2 linked regions of the Rhinolophus ferrumequinum genome follow. Each later gene encodes a partner of the first gene's protein in a complex. Links are inferred from orthologs where the notes say so. Each region holds a gene or a part of one and is shown in the gene's direction. Other genes may lie near its edges.

Region 1 (8,321 bases):
TTTTGTAAATCACACAGACCGACAGGGGCATCTGTCCACTGAATGAAAGAATGAACTGACGAACGAATGGAAATTAACTCAGAAAGGATACCCACACACGTTTCAACAACACGTCCATCCATGTGCACTCAGAGAAGCTGGGACAGGCCTAATGTTTAAGGCTGATGTCAAGGAGGGTGGGCAGCGGGTGGTCCTCGGTGTGACCCAGCAGGGGAACTGCCTCACACCTATGTGTGTGGGAGTAGGCTTGGGTGTGAATGGGAGAGAAAATAGAAAAAGAGCAACATTATGTGAGATACAGATGAACTGGAAAGCCTTAAAGCCACCTAGGCAAATCTCCTCCTTGTATGGATGAGGAAATTGAGGCCCAGAGAGGGGAAGGGACTTGCCCAAGGCCACACAGCAAGTGAATGGCAAAGTCAAGCCTTAAAAATGGACATTTGGACTCTGAGTCAAGTGAGAGACAGAGAGAGACTGATGGAGAATTGTGTGTGTGCAGGGGGTCACGGTCCTATTCTTAGAAATACCACCAAGAAGGGATTCTGCCTTCCCTACCCAGGCAGTGTGGTGGGGGCTGGAGCCAGGGTCAGGGCCTACGGAGATGGGAGGCCTCCAGCCCCATTTTGCAAATGTCCTCAGGCAGGGTCCTCAGGCATACCTGGCCATCCAAAATGCCCGCCTCCTCCAAGGTGATCTCTGGTTGGGTCAGTAGCTCCCGGTCCTCATGAATGCCCATCTTCCAGAGGCGGGACTCCCGCTGTACTACCAGAAGCTTCTTTAACTCTGACTCCATGAAACCTGACAGCCAAAGAGATGGGCAAAGGACAGGCAGGAGTGGGGTGGAGCAACCTGCTGGAGGTCAAAGGAAGAGGCGGCGGCTCCCTCTCCGACCTCCTCCTAGCCCTGTGGTCACCCCAGCCATAGTGGTTTCGTCACCCATTACCTGGAGCCAGCCAGACACCATCTCCCCACCGCCATGCCTTCCTCAAGAAACTCACTCTCCATGGGCTCCCTCCTGCAAGCATGACTGTGTCTCATCACCTCCTGGGAAGAGCATGCAAGGGGCAGATATCTGCCCCCCCATCCAGCCACCAACTCATGAGCATGGATCTGGAACCATCCAAACTGCCTCAGTTCAAGTCCCAGCTCTGCCACTTACTAGCTGCGTGATTTTGGACAAGTTACTTAACCTCTCTGTGCCTAGTTTCCTCACTGAAGTGGAGACTATAATAGGACCTACCTCGGAGTCCTAGCGCATTATTTCGTGAAAAGTTCTTAGAAGAGGATCTGGCCCATAGGAATGACTATGTAAATGCAACGATTTTATCATATTATCACCAGCCCCCACTCTTTCCTTATCTGCCCTCAGGACACCCTTTGGGGTACTGTCACAACAGTGGATATGTGATAGGAAAACCAGGGATGGAGGTGGCCACCAAAAGAGAATTCCAGGCTGCGAAAGGGTGGCACTCGAGGAGCCACAGTCCCAGTCATCACAACCCCCACCTTGCTGCCTCCCAAACCTTGACAGAGGAGGACCCTAGCTAGCCGTGAGTATGGCCTCCAGCCCAGCCACCCACCCCCACCCGGCACTGGCCCCCACCTCGGGTGGTCATCTTAGGTCCTCTGTTACCACCTGGTGGTAAAAACTGGTATTGCACCCATGAGCCGCGAGACAAAGTGTGATTCCCTCCTCCGGGCAGGTTGGGAGGGGAGGTGGGGCAGCGCACTTACCCACTGTATCTGTCGATCTAAAAGTCTTATGGATTGGCGACTGGAGTGTGGCAATGCCTGGGACACAGAGCTTGAATGAGCTGTCCTCTTCCTCCATTTCCTCTTCTTCACTTTCCTCCTCATGGAGTAAGGCTTCCTTGAGAGGAAACTGAGGGTGTGCCAGGTCACTGAGCATGTGAGGAGGACCCCAAGCCTGCAGTCCCTGCCCCACCCCACGTAAAACAGAAAGCAGGAGGGAACAGCCTCCAAAAGGTTAGGAAAGGGGACTGCTCGCCCATGGTCCAAGCCACATATCCTGGGGCCCAGCCAGAAGTGGGGAAGGGCCCCACCCAGGCCTCCCTGGGCCCTCCCCCAACCACTGTGTCTTGGCCCCACAGACCTTGGTCATGGTCGATTTCTGAAGCTGCTTGTACAAGGTGAGGAGGCGGTTCCAGGGAGTTGCCCCCACCTTCGAAGAGGCCAGCCTGAGGTCTCCTGTGATGGGACAGTGGCACTGACAATCTAATAGCAATGGGAGCTAATAGCAATGGGATGTGGCCCAGGCCCAGCAGGGCAGGGACAGCTGGAAGGTTGAGCTGCGGGTGAAGTTTCCTGGTTTTCTTTAGCAAACACCTACTATGTGGCAGACACATTTCTAGGCACTTTATAAAGGACATCTCATTTAATCCTTGCAACTACCTCTGAGATAGGTACTATTACAGTCCCATTTTATAGATGAGGAAACTGAGAAACAGAAAGGCTGAACAATTTGCCACCACACACAGCTCAACACAGCGGAGTTGGGATTCAAACCCAGGGAGTCTGCCTCCAGCATTCCCTTAGGCTTCGTCCTCCCAGGTCCCACAGCCCTGCAGAGTCCTAGAGGAGGAGAATCTGTTTATGGCCCCGCCCCACACCTGTGGCCCCTCCCACACTCACCATCCCCGTCCAGCAGACACTCCTCCTCCCAGTTGAAGGCTTCCCGGCTGACCTCCAGTGGCCCCATGGAGCTCTGCAGGCATCCTTTCTCCAGCTCCAGAGCTTGGGCAAAGTGGTCCCTGATTCCAAAGCACAGTCAGGTGGGAGTGGCAGGTGGGGCCCAGAGATGTGGCAAAGGCCCCACACCCTCACACACACCCAAGCCTCTCCCACAGGCCCTGCTCAGCCCCTCCATGCTCCTGCTCCCAACAGATCCTTGCTGGGTCCTCTGAGGCTTCATCATGGAGGTGGGGGGTAGCTGAGAGATGGTCCCCCTTCCTCATGGGGAGGGGGAGAGCGGTGCCAGGTCCAAATGGCAGTGGGAACCAGGAGGGAGAAAGTGGGGAGGAAAGGCAGGGTGGGGTGGGGCCGAGGAAGGAGCTGGGAAGCAATGGGAGCCCGCTCACCCTGGCACGCTTCCTTCCCAGTCCCCAGCCTGTCTCCCTTTCCTTTAGGTGCCTCCATCCACAACTCCTAACTTGTGGGAGAAACCTCATCTCTGCCTCTTCCCCACATACTCACACCCCATCTCCAGACTTCTCCTTGCCCTTGGTATGTCCATCCTTCCCCGTCCAGTTACCTGGTCCAGTCCTCCACCCATCCAGGGACTCGCATTCTGGCCTCTCCCCCATTTGGGTCCTCCCATCTCAGGCCCAAATCCTTCCCGTCTTACATCCAGGCCTTGTCCCAGCACTTCCATCCCAGACCCCTTCCCTTCACCCACAGCCCAGTCCTTCACCTGTCTGAGGACCCTGTATCCCCAGAGGCCTTCCCTGCTGCCTCCTTCTGCTCCTCCTCTCCCTCCTTCTCAGACACCTCCTGGCTGCTTCTGGGCCCGAATGACTTCATCTCTACACCCTGGGCCACGACCTTCAGGACCTCCATGGGGGTGGGGATCTGGGCCCCCATGTCCCCCATCCCCAGCCCTGAAGGATCGTTTGGTGGCAGGGCCACAGAGAGGGTGTTGGGTCCCGTGGCGGATGGCCTGGGCTCCTTCCTCTCCACCCCTTCCTGGTGGTCCATCATCAGGGGGATGGCATCCTGCTCTTGCGAGGGGCACGCCCGATCTCCCAACAGAGCCTTGTCAGAGCTCTTTGGGCTGCCCTTGCTCCCCACCAGGCTACGAAAAAAGCGGAACATGGAGGAGCGGCCCAAAATTCGGTATCGAGGGGTTGGAGCTGGGCTCTCCATCCTGAGAGGGACCGTGACTCACAGGGAGGAACTGTAGCAGCCACCCCAGGACCAACTGCTTAAGAACAGGAGGAGTTTTTAAATGAAAACCTACAGTTGGAAACTTCCAGGAGTTCTAGAAGGCAAAGGTCAGGCAGGCAGGGGGGGGGCGGGGGGGCAGTGATGGGGGCAGGGCATGGTGGGGGATTAGTTGGGGACAGAGAGGGCAGGGGGCGGATGAGGCAGGGGAAGGAGGCTTGGGGAGCCAGTCTGGGGGCTGGCTGGTGAGGCTCCAGGAAGCAGGGGGTCGGAGGGAGGGTGGACAGTGGACCTGGACCCAGAGCACGAGGCAGGCAGGGCTCTCGAGGACTCGGCACACCCTCCCTCCCCCTGGCTTGTCCTTGCCTGTGGCTGCTTCTGTCACTGAGAACCACTGACGATGGCCAGCTGGTATCTGTGGCCCTTTTCTCTCCCCTCTGAATACTCAGCTTGCATGTGCCCATGCGGGGAGCAGACCTTACCACGTTTTCATCTGTTTACCTGCCTATAACCTTCAGGATTTCTACCTCCAGAGACCACCTAGGTGCCTAGTACAGGTCTTAGTTGTACGTTGTATCTCAACTTAGTATTATTATTCCCCACTGCACCTAGAGTCTTGATTCTAAACCCAGCTTAGTGAGTTTGGGAAGAGTTCCTTCGAACAGCTGAGCCTCAGCTGCTTTTGTTCATCAGTAAAATGGGTGTAGCTGATGGCACCTACTTCCAAGGGCTGTTGAGATGATTCAATGAGACGATGGCTACTAAAGTTCATGGCACACAGTGGTGCTTAAGAAACGTCACCATCCTGACTTGTTTATTGGTATTGATTGATGGGAGGGGGAAAGATCAAGGCTCCAGAGTGGGAAAAGCAGCAGGGGAGGAGCCACTCCAATGCGCGGCCGAGGCTGCGGTGGGGGCTCTGAGCCCAGACCGCCAGAGGTACATCCGCATCCGGCTGCCGCAGAGCGACTTCCTCTAGAGGGAGCTGATTGGAGCCGGCAGGCAGCTCTATGTTCAGCGGAGCCTCTCAGTCCCCAGGGCTGCCCTGGGACGAGCAGAGGCTGCATCCAGACTCCAGGAATTCACTGACACCCATTCCTGGAAGCAGGCCTGGGCACCTTCGCCTGGGAGCAGCCGCTAGCCCCTCAGGATCTCCAGTCTCCTCCCATCCTAGGCCGAGGCTAGGGTCCCGACAGGTAAGCTGGGGCTGAGGGACGGCGGAGGAGGGTCCTGTCCATCCTCCCCACTCTGGGCAACCCCAGGCCTAGGGTGGGGCAGGGCGCCCACTGGAGCTGGGTGGGAGGAGGAGCCTTGCCTGGGCAGCCTCACCACCCCTGCCAGGGGCCTGATCAGCCAGGGCTCCCTCTGGCTGCCCCTTAAGACAGCTTCCCCTCATGCCCAGGCCCTGAGTGCCTGAGAATCGGGGCCAAATAACCAGGTCTGCTAGCATTCTGGGGGACGGGAGTGGAGGTCAGAGCCAAGGTCAAGAGCAGGGGGAGAGCCCAGACGGCACTTCCTGCTGCCCCAGGAGCCCTGGACTCCATCTGCAGCCCGGCCAGGCATTTCCCTTGGGGAACTTTCTGGGCCAGCAGCCCCAGTAGGTAGGGTGCAGGGGACTCCCCTTACCAGGAAGTCAGGCCACTTGGATGGGGGCAGGGGTAGGCCCGGGTTGGCATAGACTTCTGGTCCGGGGACTGTTCTGAGACTCCACCTCCTTCCCAGCAGTGAGCCCTGGGGTCGTGGGAAAGGGAGTTGCAGGTTGAGTCAGCATCCTCTGGCCCTGTTGTCCCGGGGTGCCCGGATTGGGGGACCAGGGGAGAGGCACAGGTATCTTGTTCCTGAAAGAGCTACCGGGATGGGGGTGTGCCAGGCAAAGGTCTATCTTGACGAGCGCCCGGGTGTGGTAGAGGGAGGATCTGCCTTCTCCCTATTCCCGCCCTGAGAGTGGAGGGGTGGAGAGCTGAGTACACTGGTGGTCCAGCCCTCCCCCACACCTTCTCAGTCCTTGGGGACTTTCAAAAATGGCCTCAGGCTTGAGAGGGAGGGGGTGAGGAAGGGTACACAGGCCTTCCCAAGGAGGAGGGGCTGTTCTGCCTAGCCCAGGGTGGGGGCTGTCCCCTCCCCAGGAATGGGGGGAAGGGCACTCCCGCCTGGGTGATGGAAGCAGCTGGGGGGTAGGGGAAATAAAAGGGATGCAAATTGAAAGTGAAACAGCTCATGTCCAGGAAATACTCCCTGTGTCAAGGGTTCACGGAGAACATTGGGGCTATAGCCAGGGCTAGGCAAAGAGGAAAAATGGGGCTGGGGACTGGAGAGCAAATGAGGTATCTGTGTGAGGCAGGCTGGGGCGCTGTGAAAAAGGCTCTGACTCTTGAGGGCTCCTCAGCTCACTGCAAGGCAGGAATGGGAAGGCACGGGCCACACGTAACCAGGAAAAGTTGCCCTGGAAAGGATACCCTCTGAGATCCACAAACCAGAAGATAAATCTTAACTGAGTGTTGAGTATATGGACTCATGGAAGTTCAGATAACCAACCTGACTCTCTGACTAGCTATGTGGCCTTGGCCAGTAGCCTCTTTGTGCCTCATTTTTCCCACCTGTGAAATGGGTATAATGATGCTTATCTTGCTGAGCTAATGTGCATTTTCCACACCCCCTGAGGTGCTCATACATGGTAGAAGTATACGATAGGCACTCACGAAATATTTGTGGCTAATATGCCTGAGGTGGAAAACAGGTGTGCTCTGACCAGCCAAGGGGAAGTGGGACCTTCGAGGACGACCTTCATGGGTCATTGGCTGGGAAGTTGGCAAGCTTGTGGTAAGCATGTGCTGGGCAGGGTGCAGAGGGCCCATGAGCAATGGAAAGAACCCGCAGCCTATGAAACTAGCTTCACTTCCCAGGAGTGAGGTGAACTGTGACCTGAGACTCACTAGGGCAGTGCTATAGCCACCCCTCCTGGGGCCCTGGATGCCAGCGTGCTGATCCCTGGCTGAGAATCTTGGCTGCCTTGGTTTTCTCATCCCCAGACTACCCTGAAGTTGCCAGTGAAATGCTCAATAAGTTAGGACTTCACAGCAGACTCCACAGATCCAAGGTGGTGAAATAAGAATGGCTGAAGCTAGGACTGTGGGGTCTTTTGGGGAGTGGGCGCCCCCTCACTCCTGTGTAGGAAGCTCTCGTCAGTGGCCCCTGCTTGTCCTCATCTCTGCTTTTTTAAACCCACCCCCACAGGCTAACACTGCCCTCCACTGGGACCTGAAAAATGGCATCTGGGCAAGGACCAGGACCTCCCAGGCAGGGGTGTGAAGAGCCTGCCCCTTCCTCCACTTCGGGTAAGGGTCTTTCTGTCCCCTCACCCATCCCATAACCACCAGGGCTGTCTGTGAGGATGGAGAGAACAGAAGTGGACAGGGCCAGGCAGGACTTAGGGGCAGGCTCTCCTGCTTCAGTTTACTCACCTTGGATAAAGGAGAAAATATCTTCTCATCCAATGCAGGTGGCCCATTGGGCTCAGAAGCTAAAGTGAAGTCAAGGTTAACCCCTGGGAGTGGGGAGGAGTGTGGGCCTGGGAGGTACAGAGGTTGGGAGATGCTAGGGAGTAAGTGTGAGGTGGGCTCAGGGCCATCCCAGGGCAGACGGGTGGGATGGGGTTAGAAGGAAAGAAGAGTGGGGCGTGGCTGGCCTATTCCTGCAGTAGGAGAAATAAGGAAGTAAGTTGGCTTATCACAGAGTCCCGTCTGCTCAACAGGGAAAACTTTATGACTTTGGGGAGGAAGTGAGATGGCTGCACTTCTTCCCTCTTCTAAGGGGATCATCAGGGAAGCCTTCTGCTCACAGCCCACTACAGGCTGTTCCCTGGACTTTGGGTTCCATCCTGGGTCTGTCACTATTTCCCTATGTGACTTTTGTGGTCCCATATTCCCTAAGCCGTGAGAGCTGGGTCCCTTGTACAAGCTAAAACAAACTCAGGGACCCAAATGCCTGGGATTATATCCTGGCTCCACTGCTCATTCCAGCTGTATGACCACCCTGTGCAAGTTACATAACCCCCCTGTGCCTCAGTACCCCATCTGTAAAGTGGGGGTCACCTACTTCACAAGGCTGTTGTGAGAATTAAATGGAAAGTGCCAGAAGACCACCCGGCACAGAGTGAGCACTAGGTGTCAGGTAAGGGCTGGAGTAGGGGCCCTGCTGCCAGGGGTGAGGACAGCTGTGGCCTTGAGGAAGAGCAAGCACCCCCAGAGTACGGGCTACCAGGTCCAGCTCTTCCTCCCTGACTCCTGGCTTTGATCCTCAGAGGAGCAGGTAGCCCAGGACACAGAGGAAGTTTTCCGCAGCTACGTTTTTTACCGCCATCAGCAGGAGCAGGAGGCTGACGGGGCGGTTCTACCCGCCGACCCGGAAATAGTTGCCTTGTC
Region 2 (8,108 bases), about 2.5 Mb from region 1:
GGTAGGCACACCATTTCCTAAAGGCAATTATCCAATAATAATAATAACTACACAAAGAAGTGTTTTTATTGCATATATTTAAAACTAAATTTTAGGTGAAAAATATAATTAGAATTGATTATTTTTCAATAAATACCTCTTAACATCCTGCAGAATTATTTGGGAAAATTATAATAAAAACCTATTTGGGAAAAATCAAGTCCAACGTTCTTGGTCAATTATTTCAAAAGATCATGGTTAGGTATTTTATTCTCAGTTATCTAGCAATGCCATATGAATAACTAGTGCAAAATGACAGTTTCACAAGGGGCGGATGGATAAAGGTGTCAGCTGGCTCTTTCAAATAAGAACCTCACCTGGTAACTGCATCTTGACTATCAATTTTGCCCATTTAGTAACTTAATAATTTTAATCCAGGGCTGATCTGGCTCTGATGCATTAGCTGGTGAGCATGTCATTTTCCCAATCGAAGGTTTACCTGAGAAATCAAATTAAGGTCAGAAGTTTGCCTGATGAGTATAGTTAAAATGTCAGGATCCCCAAGGTGCCAAAAAAATGCCCAGGATCTCACAGCCCTTCATCCCACAGCTCCAATTCCTCTAATCTGGCCCAAATTACAACAATCAAAATATCAAAGTAGTATTCATTCTACACTGGAAAATGTACAAATGATGAGTCAGAATTCTACCTGATGATGTCACCTGCCTTGGTTTGTATAGCTGAGATTGCTTACTGCCTTTCTCTCAGTGTAATTTCTTTTCAATTCTTGCTTCTTCCGCTAAAGCTGAAATGCAGCTTTACTCTACGTACTGTCTCATACAGTAGTCATGGCCGCAGGTAACTACCAAGCACCCAAAATGTGGCTGGTCCAAATTAAGAGGTTTTTTTTTCCCCCCATAATTTAAGATTACTGTATTTCCTTACAAGAGGAACGTTTTAACAAATTTTACAGGTGCCAAGTAACCTTTGTTCAAATTGGGTAAACATCGATTCTAGCATTATAGGTGTTTTATTTGGAAGTGAACTTTTAACTATTACAAATGTCAAGATACTACACAAAACAACCACAGGAACTTTTTCATCTTTTTTTTGAATTGTTCACAAACATTTCCTACATTATCCAACATAAAACAAAGAAATGGTACATCTTTTTCTTTCAATTTGCATACAATTGAAAAACAAGAATATATATATATATATATATATATATATATATATATATATATAGTACAAAGTTTAACTAATAGACACTAGGCAAGCTGACAGTTAAAGTCTATAGGTGAGAAATTATCTAATAAAAATAATCAGGATTTATTTAGCAGTCACTTCCATAACCAAGTATTATTCTGATTAATAAAACTTGCTGCCATTAGGCTTCTGGTATATACTTACACCATTACTGAATCTGTAGTACTGTTCCCCACCTTAGTGCTTTTCCCCAATTATTAACATAGAAAACTGCTGCAAAGTAGGGGCAGCCATTTGCAAAACAAACAGAATCCCCAGCTTATTATAAGCGTGAATGTGTATGATGGGATTTCTTTACAAGCAATGGACTTTCAAACCATTAAGAAATCACCAGAACTGAATTTGCCAAGATATTTTGCCTATGTCCAAGAGATGCATTTATTTATTCCAACACAGGAGCTGAAAATCAAACTTAGTGTTTAGTTTGGGGGTGGTTTGGGGAATTTAGCCATTTGAAAAATGACCGTCTTAAAAAAAAAAATGACCACCAAAAATAGGTTCACTAAATTTATTTTAAAAATCATGAAAGATTTCTTACAAAAGAGCATTACATTCTGCACACTGCTCTGAATAGTTGCCAGGGACGTAAGGACTATTGTTACTTTTCCTCCCTGTCTCCCCCACCCCCAAATGTTACAATGACCACAAAGTAAGGTGTTCACAATAATCACATAGGGGGAATTTTCCTTTTTAACCAACAATGAACAAAGATTAGAATTCACTCACTCTGCTGTTTCAAAATTTCAATGTTAGTTTTTGCATCTCCTCCCCCCCACCATTTGTAAGGAACTAAAACATTACATCTGGTGAACAGCAAATATTTCACTACACCTCAAATGCAGACCACCTATGAAGCAGAGGAATGTTGGCTTTTTAAACAGAAGCAGAAAATAAAAAAGATGCAGGACTCTATCAGCTCTTCACTAGTCTTAGGAAAACGTTTCACACTATAAAAAAGAAAAAATATCTTGCATTAGAATCCTTCAACATCTGCATACTGCTTCACACTGTTCTGCAGCAAATACTGTGCATTCTGTGTCTGGTCCTGTGTTCCTGTAATGGTAATGATCCGATCTTCATATCCTTCTAAAGGCTCATCAGTTTTGATTGAAGCACCTGACTCGTGACAAATTTGTTTAATCCATTGACCGCCTTTGCCAATAATAGATCCAGCCAAATCTTTGGGAACAGTTACTTGTGTAGTAATAATAGGTCCATCAAGATCACCATATGAACCACGACCCCCTGCATAGGAATACTCATATCTGGAGCCACCCTGTGGTTCATAAGCCATCTGCCATTCTCAAGGGCTCCATGTATCTATTGCAGAGTCCCGTTTCATCGGCACTGAAACCAACCCTGCCATCATAACAGTCTCCAGGTCTTCCTTTTCTGTCATAGGCCATTAGATCTCCTCCTCTAGGAGGTGGTGGTGGAGGAAGAGGAAGGTTCTGAGCCTTGCTACCTCCCCTGCCACCTCGACCAGGAGGAGGGGGAGGAGGTCCTCGCCGAGGGCTCATGTCATCATAATCTCTTCTAGATGGAGGCCTGGGACACCCTCCTGGACCAGGAAGTATTCTGTCAAAACCACCTCTTCCCTGCATGGGAAATCCCACGGGACGCCCATGGCGGTCATCAAACATCACTGAAAAGCCACCATAATCATAGGTTTCATCACAAAAATTGGGATCGTAAGGCTGTGCACATCCCTTGATGGGAGACTCTAAGATGGGAGATGTAAGATCAAGGATGATCTGTATGCACTCCTCAACCCTATCAGGTTTTCCTCCAATAAGAATGACTCTGTCAGGGGAGTGAGGACAGCACTCCTGGAAAAAGCTTGATTGTTGTCGGAGTGTTCTCTCGAAGTTCTTTGATTTTAGCACCTTTGACCCCAATAATTCCTCCTGCCAAACTCTGACGAATCAACAGTCTCAGCTGGCAGTCAGAGTCGCTTCCTTTATAGTGTTGATTATTCAAGCCTTCCACAGCATCAGATTCGAACAGGACCTGGCTGGTTGCAGTGGGTGGTGGCAACTGCAGGCCCTCTTCCAAGGTAGGGATGATTTTCTTCAGAATTTCTCCAATTGTTTCAATATCAGCACTGATACTCAATATGCATTCAGGGCCACTGCTGTCTGGGACTGCAACACTGGCATTGTAGTCTGTGCGCAGAGCCTTAATATTCTTGCCTCCTTTTCCAATCACTGCCCCAGCATTCTTGCTTTGAAGCAGAATGCGTAATTTAACCATCTCATCAGTGTTTCTAGATCTTTTAAAAGCTTGTTCCTCTTCCATATCTTCTGCAGGCCATTTAGCAAATTCACCACTGGTTTTGGTGTTGGGGAAGATTTCCTCTGGCTGGTCAGTTTCCATTTTCTTGGATTAAATGGACACACCAATCTATAGGCCGTAAACAAGCGGGGGACATAGGCAAGATGTCGAGGTTGGTGCGGCAGAGAAACAGAGGATAATAGCGTCGGCCTTGAGATGTATTTTAAGTGTAAAATATATACCAGATTTGGATGACTTACTTTAATGAGAATGTAAACTATTTCTTTAAAAATGTGTATGTTGATTACCTGTTGAAATGATAACTTTTGGATTTATTTTGGGATACATTTTAAGTTATATTATTAAAATTAATTTTACCTTTCTTTTTACTTTTTTAATGTATTTATTAGAAAACTTAAAATTACATGTATGATTCACATGTTTTATTGGATCTAAGGCCGCTGAAGGCTTCCCTTATTACTTTCTTTAGTTGTTCTTTATGTCCTGAACTCTCTTATCCATTCCTTTTTTTTCCAGTAACTAATTAGATTTAGAGGGTAAAATAGAAAGTCAGACTTTGTAGCCAACCTTTAAGTTAAGAGAATTAAGTGCACTGATAGACAATGAAAGTCTTAGTTCAATTCTTTAACTTACTGGATTTATGCTACAGTATTAGAAAAAAGGGGGAGGCAGGAGAATAGCCTTTATTGGTGTCTGTAGAGAATGTAGGGATGGACTGAGTATATGGAGAATTAACAACAGACAGACAGACAGACAGACACACACCCCCACACACACACACACACACACACACACACACGAAGTAGGACACAGAATGTATTTCATCTCCATTCCTCCCCACCTCTCTAGGTTTTTTTATCTACTTTTTTCTTTGGCTGCACTAATTTGTCTCTTTTTCTATGTGTACTAATTTAGACTGTTCCATTGCTGGAATGTGGCTATTGAAAAGGTGAAGAAAAACTTCTGGGAGATGCGGATGCAGGGTAGTGTAGCAGATCTAAAGACCAAGGAACACAGAGAGATGTTTATTTAAGTTGAAAAAGACCGTAGAGATCACCATGTTCCATCTTCCACTCAAATCCATAACTCTTTTATGTATGGAATAAAAGCTGCTTGTGTTGTTAGAACATCAATATTCATCTAACATACCAAATATATACTGAGAAATCCTCTGAAAATATATCTTTTCAACAGGGAAAAAACATGAAGCAGAAAAAACATGATGCTATTGTTTGTGAACCTAAAGAACTTCTGAATCCCTCTCTCAAAGTAACACATTGTTGCAAATCACTGTGGGTGAAATACAGTTTTCAGAAGGCATACATGACCCGACTTGTCAGCAACCAGCCAGTTTTAGCCATGCCAAGGAACCCAGGTAAGACATTACTTGTATTAAACTAAGAGAAATATTCTACTTAGCATGTATTTTTCTTGGCATTGAGGATATAAATTTGGGCATTAAGTAGATTATTTAAACATTAACCAGTTGTAAGAAGATAGTGGTAAATCTATTCATCAAAGTTCTAGATAGTAAAAATCTAAAACTGACTTTGCTTCATGGTATTAAATGTCTTAGTTTTTATTAGCCCTGAACCATTGATGTGACAATTAATTAAGATGACTCCAAATAAACTAAAATAGATCAAATTTATCTTTTAATAAAAATTTGTCTTTAAACAGAGACCTGACAATGTCTGCATTCTTAAGGTAGGAAAAATTCAGTATAGGTTCCTTCTTGATTTTGCCAACATAGAAAAGAACATGAAGGAAAGATAAACTTGAAATTTTGTGTTGCAAAACTGTGTAATTCCTAAATGTCCCAGGATGTTGGAAAACTAAAGTCTTATGTTTTTGAGAGCATTAAAGAGTCTTGGGGTCCAATTTATGGGCTTTTAGACTTACTTAAATGTATGCTAGCCACATGAAAGGAATTATTAAAACTAATCTCAAACGATTCTCCAATTTTAAAAGAATTATATGCCACTGAGAAAGTGGAAATTTCAAGCATCCTGATAGTCTTTTGCTACCATATCAAATATGGTGTACATTTTCCAGAAAGAACTCAGTTGATGAAAATTTTGAATTTTCATGTGTGCAGGTGTCAACAATTATTTCTCAAAGCCTGAGATTGTCACCTGTGATTACCTTCTAGAACATATACATACTTTTGAGATGTAATTCATACACAAGTTCAACTGTTTAAAGTGCACAATTCAATAGTTTTTAGTACATTCACAAAGTTGTGCAATCATCACCACTATTCTAGAACTCATTTTATTATAAACCTTTTGCAATATGTTTTCACACTCACTGTACCCTAGATCCTCACAGACTCCCTGTGAAGCTGATGGGTAACTTCTGAGGTGCCCTGTGGGCCGCAGCCACATTTACGCGAAATGCTTTCCTAATTTCATCTCAAAAACAGAAGGGTGAAGAGTTAATAATGCTACTGCCTTTGATTTACAAACAGACAACAACCTAACCTACATGTTTGTTTCCATGCCTAGAACTCGCGTTTTACCATATATGTAAAATCTTGCTTGTGACTGGTATTTTAGTCTGGTGGGTGCATACCACGGCGGATCCCGCAATTAGAGGTCAGCCCACACAAGCCTCCCATTTCCTTTCGAACACTCTTCTGGCCCAGGAGGCAGCGGCGCGTTTCCCCGCTTTATAGTTCATGATATCGCTGAAGACATGGGTGGGGGGGGTGTGTAAGCTAACGGGCGCGGTGTGAGAGGGACATGGTGTTGTTAGTTCGGCGTGGACAACGCCACAGCGAGGGTAATCAGAGGCGCCGAGCAGGGTATTCCGAGCACCCAGAGCCCAAGCCTCAGCGGCTTGGAGCGAGCAGAAGCGCCACCGAGGGCGCGGGAGACCTCCGCGGGCCGCCGCGCGCCGTGCACGCTCCCCATTGGCCAAGCAGGCCCACGTGACTTCTACCGCCAAACGGCCCGGCCGAGCGCGCGTTTTTCCCAGGAGAGAGTAGGCGTGGGCCGCACAGCGGTGGTGGGGCGGCGGACGGCGCTCGGAGGACCCGGGGAAGCTCACTGCAGAGAACCTTAAAAAAGCAAACAAACAAAACCCCCTCAGTACTGCCCAAAGTAAAACTCTTAGTGAGTAAGCTGATTATTGAGATCGTCCCCTTTTCCTCTTTTCGGCTTTTGTCCCGGGCTATGACACTGAAAATGGAAACCTCCAGTCGTTATTGGCTGGAAAGTGGCTCGCTGAAGCCGACCTTTATCTCTTTCTTTGGGGAAGTCTGCACGTATGAACAACTCTTTAGGGACAAAGAAAACATCGTTTTTGTATGGGGAACTGAAAGCCACTTGTCTTCGAAAAGTTGAGGGGGTGGGTAAGGTCTTGGGAAATCCAGAGAAACCATCCAGATTTGTCATTTAAGGGAAATTAGAAACTCTTGGGAAAACAAAAATGAGTAAAAGCAAAAAGAGACCCTACTCACCCCTAAAAATGTAATAATTATTGATGGGAAAGGGAAGAATTTTTAAAAATCATTTATATATGTATGTGTATGAGGAGTATAAATGGGATATATAATTGTAGAAGTCAATAGAGGGTCCAGTTACTGAATGCAGCTGCTCTCTCCATTTGAGAGTGCTTGGATGCTCATTTTGCCTTTTTTTCTTCATCTAAGGCTTAGCAACTCTTCCCCTCTTCTAGGAAACATTTTCATTTTTTTATTCATTCAAAAAAGGACTAGGGCCTACTACCTATATTCCAGGCACTGTGCTAGGTACGGGGGTGACAATGGGGAACAAAAACAATAACAGCCCCTTCCCTTCTGGTAAAGGAGGCAGACAGAAGTTAATTACACATGTTAAATATAAGTTCCAAGAAGAGGTCCAGATGCTATAATGGAGATTTGCCCTACCTAGCAAGGAGGTTAGAGAACGCTTCCCTCATGATGTGACTCTGGGCCCTCACCTGAAGGGGTTAAGGGAGTTTCAGGCAGAGGGAGCAGCTTGTGCAAGGGACAGCTGGTAGCCTCTCCCTTTCCACAGACTGCCCAATTCAGCTATTTCCACTACACATAGGAGGGCGTTAATCTTGCCTTGTAGTTCCCTGAAGACATTTATTTTTTTCTTTCAATTCCAAGTTCTTCGGAAGTAACTTGTAACCTATAGTTATCGTTATAGATGATGTTTATCCAGTCGGTAAGTATACTAATATACACATCTAGTATGCATTATCTCTGTTGTTTTACATAGTAAAAACATTCAAAGATTTTAACAAAATGTAGAATATGATGTATCTCAACAGCAGTAAAAGTACTATAGATACTCAAAGTACTGAGAGATCACATTATTTTGGAAGACTCAAAAAAGGCATCTAAGAGACAGTAATTTTTGAGATATGTTTCAGAGAAGATTTGGTCACAAGACACATTTAATTAGAACATAAGGTTCAGGGAGAAGGGTAAGGAGGCAAGACAGATAAGTTGAGATATATTCTAAGGGGATTGAAAAACCAGTCCATAGAGTTTGTAGAAACTGAATAGAAATGTTTTCTTTAAGGTTTGAGGACTTTTCTGAGATACATTTTCC

The links. The genes of interacting proteins can lie anywhere in the genome.
Region 2: the proteins of BAK1 (region 1) and PXT1 are in contact, whole or in part, in a crystal structure (PDB 8GSV), measured with the Homo sapiens proteins. The link is inferred for Rhinolophus ferrumequinum from reciprocal best matches to the Homo sapiens genes BAK1 and PXT1. Residues at the interface, in NP_001179.1 of Homo sapiens: Ile81, Gly82, Asp84, Ile85, Asn86, Arg88, Tyr89, Glu92, Phe93, Met96, Leu97, His99, Leu100, Tyr110, Lys113, Ile114, Ser117, Leu118, Glu120, Ser121, Asn124, Trp125, Gly126, Arg127, Val129, Ala130, Phe134, Asn182; in NP_694535.2 of Homo sapiens: Ile78, Ile79, His80, Lys81, Leu82, Ala83, Met84, Gln85, Leu86, Arg87, His88, Ile89, Gly90, Asp91, Asn92, Ile93, Asp94, Arg96, Met97.

What each region holds. Positions count from the first base shown.
Region 1 is NC_046286.1:3,846,042-3,854,362, reverse strand, and holds the start of BAK1 (bcl-2 homologous antagonist/killer), read left to right. Parts: upstream 1-4,818; 5' UTR 4,819-5,096; intron 5,097-5,526; coding exon of another isoform or gene 5,527-5,576; exon of another isoform or gene 5,577-5,781; intron 5,782-7,134; 5' UTR 7,135-7,165; coding exon 7,166-7,235; intron 7,236-8,200; coding exon 8,201-8,321. Other genes in the region: gametogenetin-binding protein 1-like, read right to left, coding at 659-798, 1,735-1,882, 2,114-2,208, 2,653-2,771, 5,527-5,576. UniProt on the Homo sapiens protein: Plays a role in the mitochondrial apoptotic process. Upon arrival of cell death signals, promotes mitochondrial outer membrane (MOM) permeabilization by oligomerizing to form pores within the MOM.
Region 2 is NC_046286.1:6,336,024-6,344,131, reverse strand, and holds the start of PXT1 (peroxisomal testis-specific protein 1), read left to right. Parts: upstream 1-4,746; coding exon 4,747-4,918; intron 4,919-8,108.